Nothobranchius furzeri: one gene and its partner. The protein of the gene in region 2 purifies or fractionates together with the protein of the main gene of each other region. This does not show direct contact. Links are inferred from orthologs where the notes say so. Each region holds a gene or a part of one and is shown on either strand. Other genes may lie near its edges.

The links.
Region 1: the proteins of fbxo10 (region 2) and acsl4a purify together in Homo sapiens (affinity purification with western blotting; 3 studies listed by BioGRID, with this or other methods). This does not show direct contact. The link is inferred for Nothobranchius furzeri from reciprocal best matches to the Homo sapiens genes FBXO10 and ACSL4.

What each region holds. Positions count from the first base shown.
Region 1 is NC_091741.1:25,484,411-25,488,711, reverse strand, and holds the start of acsl4a (long-chain-fatty-acid--CoA ligase 4), read right to left. Parts: upstream 2,963-4,301; 5' UTR 2,825-2,962; intron 1,415-2,824; 5' UTR 1,279-1,414; coding exon 922-1,278; intron 849-921; coding exon 671-848; intron 585-670; coding exon 475-584; intron 262-474; coding exon 123-261; intron 30-122; coding exon 1-29. UniProt on the Homo sapiens protein: Catalyzes the conversion of long-chain fatty acids to their active form acyl-CoA for both synthesis of cellular lipids, and degradation via beta-oxidation. Preferentially activates arachidonate and eicosapentaenoate as substrates.
Region 2 is NC_091747.1:78,697,219-78,701,589, reverse strand, and holds the start of fbxo10 (F-box only protein 10), read right to left. Parts: upstream 2,855-4,371; 5' UTR 2,669-2,854; exon of another isoform or gene 2,637-2,668; intron 2,460-2,636; 5' UTR 2,416-2,459; coding exon 1,831-2,415; intron 1,749-1,830; coding exon 957-1,748; intron 792-956; coding exon 642-791; intron 574-641; coding exon 437-573; intron 1-436. UniProt on the Homo sapiens protein: Substrate-recognition component of the SCF (SKP1-CUL1-F-box protein)-type E3 ubiquitin ligase complex. Mediates the ubiquitination and degradation of BCL2, an antiapoptotic protein, thereby playing a role in apoptosis by controlling the stability of BCL2.

The DNA of each region.
Region 1 (4,301 bases), on a different chromosome or scaffold from region 2:
GGGCTGGGGCTTCACAATGGCTCTTTCTGCTGCAGGACAAACAAGACAAGCATCGTCTTGTACTGTGAGCGTGACGTTTGTATTTGACTGATTTCACCTAAACACACGAGAGAAATACACACTGTTCTCCGGCTGCGCTCCCAGGTCTCGTACCGCCTGCATGCTGTGGAGGGACAGTCCTGCTGGGTATCCTTCGGTGGTCACTTTCTTCTGGTCCACGTAGATCACGTGCTTCAGCTTGGTGATCTGTGGCAGCACGTGCTGGACAGGAAACACAAACACCTTTTATTAATTTTGATTTACTGATTTCCTCTCAATAATCTGAAACCGGACAAACCGAAGACACCGGTCTCTCTAAAGTATTCTCTTCTTGGTATTTCCTCACAACAATGATCTAAGCAACGCAATGACACACTCCACTAGAACAAACCAGTTAGTTGGTTTTAAACTTGTGCTTTTAGGAGATAAGCTCACTTTCAGTTTGGTCTCCAGCAGCTCTGCGCTGGTAACTACATGAGTCACCCCGGTCTCGTTCAGCCCATACGCGATGGCCTCCTCTCCCAGTGTGGCATAGAAAGTCACCACTGATTCAACAGAAAGAAAAAACAAACCCTGAGTGAGAACATCGATAAGCCTGAATGAACACATAATCTGACTGTTTCTTACTTACACGGAAAGTTTTGCCTGAAGCACGCCTGAGCTGTGATCATCCACTCCGCTCTGGTCTCACAGAAGATCGCGATGGTGCTTTTGGGCTGCTGCCCCAGAGCTGCTAACCCACTGCCAAACTCACTCACTATAGAGTCCACTTCATCATAGGACAGCCACTTGTACTCTCCCATGATCAGCTACAACGAGTAAACAGTCAAACACCACAATCGGCCATTAGCTAGATTAATTAAATATAACGAGCAGCCCTACCTTTTTAAAAACTTTGCCGTTGGGCTGAATATCGTTCTCCTCACTCAGAATCTCTCTGGTACCAAGACAGTGAGCGTCTCTGAACCGCTGCACAGCATGCTTGAAGAGCTTATCCAGGGTGTTGATGCCTGGGAAGTCTTCTGTGGCCAGGGAGTCAAAGTGATCCACGGAGCGGTACGGACCATCTGGAAAACCTGACGTAGAACAAGCTTTTGTTCGCTTGGACTGAGATTTCTTTTGGCCGGCTTGAGTGATGAAGTACCAGGGTAGGAAGGAGATCGTTGAGTACAGCCATATCAGCAGGTAGACTGGAAACAGGAGGATCAGCTGGAGGGTAGAGACTGCCTGGGCAACCATACTGGTCTCCGGGAGAGTATTCACCAGTTTCTGCTGGGTGTTTATAAGTAATTCTGGGGTAGTCTGGAACTAAAAGGCCCAGCAGCACACAGATTTTCTGTGGGGGTCTCCTAGTACAGCCTCCCAGCTGAGTTAGCTAAAGTTGAGATAAAAACAAAAAAGGATTACAAGTTAAAAGTCACCCAAAAGAAAACAACTGTATCAAAGAGGAAGCAGGATAGTTCATCTGGTGCCAAGCGTCTTATGAAAAAACAGAACAGTTAAAAAAGGCGGGTTTGTAAAACAAAGAAGTGAGATAAACATTTATGAAGGATCCCTTAATAACCTGTTACATGCGGTTTCAGACCAGACTCACCTCCCGCTTGCCCCGCTTTGATAAATCAATCAGCATGCAGAGCTTGATTAAATCAAAAGCCTTGAAAGGGAAATGGATTAATCAGGCCCCGCCCCTTTGTTTAAACACCTGTCTTTATCCTCCAACAATGAGCAGGTTATCTAAAAGGTCAGTGTGGAGACATTCCCCCCTCAGACCAGACTGGCCACTGTCCAATGACCACAGGACAGTGAATGGACAGAGCCACAGACGACCAATGACAGTACTCTTAAGGCTCACTCCACTCAGTGGCCAGGGAGGGTCACGTTAGGGCAAGCCCGGCTCCTCTCGGCGGAAAGGACGGAGTTAACCAGTCCAAACTGGGTTTTACTTTAGTGGCGGAGTAGAAAACATCAATCAGGGGAAAGTATGAAAATGGCGGCATCACTATGAGTCATTTGAGTTAATCACACTTTAGGTGCACGTCAATGACCCGTTTATACTATCAGAAGGAAATAAATAAGGAAAAGATGAATAATGGTGTGATGTTTGAGCACAAGCATTTTTCCCATTCCCCTTACAAAAAGATATTTCATAGGATCTTGTGCAACAGCAGGACGTGCCCACTTCTAAATAATGACGCACATGTTGAAATCTACTGACTTCAGGGAAAATAGTCATTCTTACAACCGGTCCACCCTGACAGACACCAGATCAAATATCAAAGAAATTCGTAGGAAATGTGCGGCTACATCAGACTCACATAAATCACATTGTACCGGGCCAAGAGGCGCACGTGCTGGATCTATTTTCATGGCAGCGCCACGTTTTTTGGCGCATTTGGCCACACATCACGTCTAAATTTTGTATTTTATATCAATATAAAACATCGTACTATCTCCGCTTTACGTTTCCCGTTCTTGAAATAGTCATTAAACGTTCTGGAAATAAAACCCACGAATCTTGATGAAGCTCTGACCGTTAAAGTAGCGCGAGCCGTAAAGGCTAAACAATGGGCGAGCAGTGGAGCGGAACACGCATAGAAAAGCCGCCTCTTGTTGCCACTGATGCTGATAAAGCAACAGAGGAAGTTATCACCCAGCGAAGATGTTCGCTGTGGCCCAAACAAACCACCAACACGTCATTCAACAAACGGATAGAAACAGTAATGAGATTACGGTTTCAGCGCGCGAGTGATACTCTGCTTAACTCGTAGGCTTGTCATATTCTTACCGTGAGCGGCAGAAAACGCTGCCTGTCGTAGCATTGGTCTCGGGACAAATGACCGAGAGTTACCTTTTCTGTGGGGTCTAGAGACCCGGAACTTTACGTCATCTGATTCCATATTTTTCAACCAATCAGAAACCGAGCTGGTCCTTGCCCTCGGTTTTTCTGTTACGTCCGCAAGATGAGAAACAGAACAGGAAGACTGTATTTTGTTTTTTCCGCAAGCACAGAAAGGAAGATGTATACCTTGTTATAAATTTGTTAATTATTCTAGCTAAATTCTATCTCCACAAATGCAAGTATAGTAACCAAAAACCTAATTTCAAGCACTATAATAGTGACACTCTATCTTACATAAAATTGATTAGTGGATCACTAAACAAAAAAACTTTAAAAACTATAACTATTTGCACCACCTATAATTTATTTGGATGTGTGTAACATTTCTGTAGTGCACTGCACCCCCTGGCATATGTTTCATCTTCTTTGTTCAATTTTATATGCAATTTGTTTTCTATACTTATCACCTTGTTCAATAAAGTTTTGGGAAAAAAAGACTGTGTGGACATTTCCACGTTGTAGGGACATTTTGCTGGTCCACACAATGCTAAGGATCGTTATATTTGGTTTTAGAGGTATGTTGAGAATACACTTTCAGTGTATATTAGTTTAGGTTAGGGCTAGGAAAAAGAAAAAAAATTATATTTTATATAGCACCTCTCAAGATAAAGAAATCACGAGGCGCTTCACAAAAACAAAAAAGTATTTTTCAAAAATGATTTGATTTAATTTTTAAAATGACAAAAAAATAAAAAATGGGATTAAACATGCAAGGAAAGGGAGAGAGAAAATGAATAGGTAAAAGGAAAATCGGTGGGAAAGGCGGAAAAGGTAGAAAGAGCAGAATAAGAAAGAAAGAAAGAAAGAAAACAATCTTTTATATAGCGCCTCTCAATATAAAAATCACGAGGCGCTTCACATAAACAAAATTAAATGTGATGGGACAGACAGCTCTTGTCTCAAGGGGAGAGAGTTCCAGAGTCTCAGGGCCACAGCAGCAAATGATCTGTTGTCATCTTTGGTTTTTAGCCTGGTGCTCTGCACAACCGATGGGCGTTGGTCACTGGAAGAAGAACCCTATTGGTTAGGGTTAATAGTGGAGTCACTAAATGAATGGAAGTCAATGGAGGTTCACACAAGCATATACGTGTGTGTGTGTGTGTGTGTGTGTGTGTGTGTGTGTCACCATAAAGCAGTTGAAGAAAACATTATTTTTAATTAAAATAACAAATAAAAATATGAGATTTAATGGAAAATGTCTAGTTTAGCAACAGAAGTGGAAATTGATTTTGAGATTTTTTTTTTCACCAGGTCCGCCAACTCACAGAGATCCTCGCATTTGGTTATAAGAGTTGCAACGTCCTACTGTACCATTGACATATATACATATAGTTTTTTGGATGCTTTATATGATTCCAACCAG
Region 2 (4,371 bases):
TGTGCCACCATGCAGCCTTCATCTAAGTGTTTTAGGATTATTTTTGCCATCTGCATTGAGATCGTTTAGAGCTACAACTGAACTACAGATGTGACTGAGGCTGGCACGATATCAATAAATTGTTGATAAATGATTTCTATGATGCAACTAGACTCCGTTATCATATTTTAGCTTTATACAGTAAATATGAAAGATTTTCAGGTGTAAATCACGTAATAATGACGGTAGAACAGCTGCAATCGGACCAGAGCCAAAGGAAGCGTTATTAATGAGTGTCGCTCTACGGACATGTCAGCGTATCATCTGTAAAGAAATGTTTGTTGGTTTTTAACAACAGCTTCTGATTACATTTCTAGAAGATACAGAAACACTGAGTGATGTCCAGATGATGGGAAGTGTGGGATAGACGTGATCCTGTTTCTGGAGTCCAGCTCACCTCACCACAGGATTCCCGCTGAAGAGAACATACACGCCGGCTTCCTTGTTGTTATAGATCAGGTTGCTCCGAATTGAGCCTTTCCCGTTGCCAAGGACAACAACCCCAGAACGCAGACCGCTGTGTATCCTATTGCACTGCAGAACAAAAGAGGAAATAACGGAGAACACAGGAACACAGACAATACATTTAAAGCTGTTTCTACCAGAATAATGGGGTTGGCCCCTTTTCGGATATCCAGCCCGGCTTCCCCGTTAGAGTGGATGTTGTTTTCCGCGATGAGGCCCTGAGCCGACAGGCGCAGAAACACACCTGACGCGCGACACTCGCACACCTCATTTCTCAGCATCACAATCTGGAGAAGCAGGGAAAGAGGAAGCTCCAGTGACACTGCTGCTGAATTACTAATGACTCCAGCAAGCTCCTTAAGTTTGTACGTTAAAGGAAATGAAATCTCTAAAGATGTAACGGTGCGTTTGACAGATTTATCATGAACAAATATTATTTAGGTTGGGTTTACTGTAGAGTTTTGGATGCAGCGGACAGCGTAGTTCAGCCCACGGAACACGTTGTCCTCCAGACGAGCTTGTGCATAATTGGACAAATGTACACCTCCCTTCCCATTTCTGAAGAGGCAGCGTCTCAAAATGCAGCCAAGGATGGATGAGGCTAGGATCTGAGCCTCCGGGTCCCTGTCTAATTCCTGCTGAAGGGTGAGGGGGTCAGGGGCCGCAGACGGAGGGTCAGAGGAGGAGGCAAGTGGCAGAGAGCCGTCCGCTCGAGGCTTCAGCAGATGGGACAGGCTGTGATTTTCACATGGGATTTTGCAATCCAGTGTAAAGAGTTTTCTTGTGTTTTTCTCCTCCTCCCCCTCGCTGTGCTCACCATCACTCCAGCCGTCTCCGATGACGGTGCCCTGACAAACTGCTTCTCCACTTGTCCTTCTTTTCCAGTCCTCCATGCTCACATACTCCTTTGCAACCCCCCCTGGAGGATTAGGCTCAGGAGTGGAGCTGCCCTGAGGGCAGCTGGGGGAGCTGCTGAACTTAGATGGGAATGTCCTGGCCAGGGAAGTCAAATGTTTACAAGCCCAGTTTCTTTCGGACACTGGGGGGCCCTCCACAGTCACTGAAGCTGTGTCACTTCCTGAAAAGTCACAGCTGTCCAACAGACTGACGACGACACTCAGCAAGTGGGCAGAGCTTCCCTGGGAGAAGGAGCAAAATCGAGCCTGGCAGGTCCCCGGGCCACGGATTTGAAGCTGGGCTCCTTCAAAGTTGCAGTTGTCTAGTTGGACATGACCCCATGATGTCTAGAGGAGAGAAAGGACACAAGTAAGACAAATTCTTGATTGGGTTAAGACATTTGTTGATGTTGGAAAGCTGTTCTATCACCTTGTAGACAACCGTGGAGAACCAGGGAGGCATGAACACCAAGTTACACAGCCTGGCTGTAGGACACTGTTGCTCCATGCAGACCAGGAGGGCCACCTCACCCAGCTGGCCCAGACCAATCAGCTCCACTGGCACTTTCAGAACCACCTCGGCCTGTTCCTCGTACACTCCTGGATGGAGAACCACACGGTCGTATGGCGCCGCCACCCCAAGAGCTCCACGCAGGGTCTCAAACTCCCGTCCGGGCCCCACGTGCCAAACCCTGCGGTCTTTCCTCCTCCGGAAAAACAGGAGGCAGGCGGAGGACTGGAGCTCTTGGCCATTACGTGTCCAGGTGCGGGTGGCGAGGGTGTGCTGCTTCAGGGCCTCTCTCCAGGACAGTGGCTCCAGGTGGGGCTGGCTGGGCCAGTTGGGATGGCGACACTCGGGACAGCCCAGACACAGCTGCCTCCAGCGGGTGTTATCCAGGGAGAAGATGAGCTCCCGCCAGGCGCGGCACACCTGGCAGCAGCGGCCCAGGTCAGGGACAGGGAGGTAGGCCAAGATGAGCCTCCACAGCTCCACGGGGAGGCCGCCCGCCTCCATGGCAGCAGAGACAAGGTGGAGGCACCTGGAGACAGGTGGGGACTCTTAAAGGGACAGAAAACTCATTCAGTACACAATAACAAAGCCCATTATTATTATTAATAATAAATTATTTACTGTGCGCAAACCTGTAGTTAAACATTTAACATTTTCCAACCTAAAGTTATTTTCAAAGCGATAAAAACTGCTGGACTGATTATATAAAGTTTGTGAGATCCTACCAGCTAGCTAGCTAAGACACCGTTAGCTCCACCTTTAGCTGTTCGCCATCGTCCGATAATCCACACACGTAGGCTCGAAGCTTCCTGCTTTAATCCGCCGCAGCCTCACATATCAGCGGGAAGAGCCGCCTCACAACCTCCGCCGGACTTCATCACTTTCCATCATGCAGATGTGCAAACGGAGCTACCGCAAGACGACGCAGATCTCCATCTTCCGCTTCCAAAAAGTGGGCGTTTCCCTTTACGACCGCTCTCCTCCTCCAGCTCCTCCCCCGCACGCGCATGTTGGAGGAACGCCGCCGTCCAATCCGCTGTTAGTATGACCTTTTGGGGAAATGATTGGTCTGGACACCTGCACAAAGATTAGAGCGCCCATGTTGTCTTTACATTTTCCTCTTGGCGCGATTAAAGTTTTTCTAAATGCGTCTGCTTTTAACCTGAGGCGGACAAGAGGTATCAGACCCAAACAACCGTAGCTGCTTTAAGATCGTCTTTTCATCAGGACTGCAGACTAGTGATGGGAATTCCGGCTCTTTTTAGAGAGCCGGTTCTTTTGGCTCGGCTCACCAAAAAGAGCCGGCTCTTTCGGCTCCCAAGTGGCTCCTCAGATTTTCTGTTGCCTAGAGTGCATTTATAACCAAAATAATGCAAAACTATACGTAAAATGATTTACTAATGTAAAAAAATGCTATATATCAAATATTTATCATTTCTATGGATTTAATAACTGAACACTTTCAGAAATCTCCACTTTCCGAGTGCTAGCGCTCATTTTCTCACCGTCTTCGTCACACTCTCCTCTCTCTCTCTCTTGCTCTTTTCCTCCTCCTCATTCCCTCTCGTCTCCCTCCGCCCGCACTTGCTCTGCTGTGTGTCTGAGTCTGATCCTCCCTCTTCCCCGCCCCTACTGTTCTGTGTGTGGACAGTCTGGACACGCAGTTACACATGTTGACCAATCAATCGCCTGTGGCTTTCACCAAAGCAAAAGGGAGGGGGGAGGGGAGGGGATGGCTCCCAATGATGAGCCGGCTCCCGTCGTTCACTTCAAAGAGCCGGCTCTTAGAGCCGGTTCGTTCGCGACCGACACATCACTACTGCAGACACAAAACAATTAATATAAAGACTGTGTAAAAAGGTCCAGAACTCATGATACTTCAGATAAACAGTAAAGAAGATTTGTGCAACTGGCATGTAAAAGACACTGATAATTACACAGGGTGAACAATTTACACGTTTGGACAGCAGTGGGGCATTATTAGTTTTAGACACAACGAGGGTTGCGCAGGGCTTGCATTAAACGATCCAGTAAAATACTTCACATACTGATTGAAAAAAGTATGAAAGTTAATTTTACTACATTTTATTTCAGTCATCCACAAAAATAATAAAATGTGTGATGTGTTTTATTTGTAGAAAGAAACAATAATAAAAAAAGAAACAATTCCCATCTCACCCTCTGTGGGTGGTCTCATCACAGACATATGTAGTAGACGCACCCCCAATGCATTCATTTCTAATGAAGAAGGTTTAACTAAAAATCACATTTTATCAAGCTTTTTTTACAAAATCAGACACATGGTATGCCATGATAGTTAAAATACAAACATAATTAAACAAAATAAATAAAAATATAACATCCCATCAAGTAGGCTATATTCAACATATTTTCAATCATCCCATGTGATCTGTTTTCAAAAGTAGGCCCTACTTAAGAACATCACCTGTTCTGAACGAT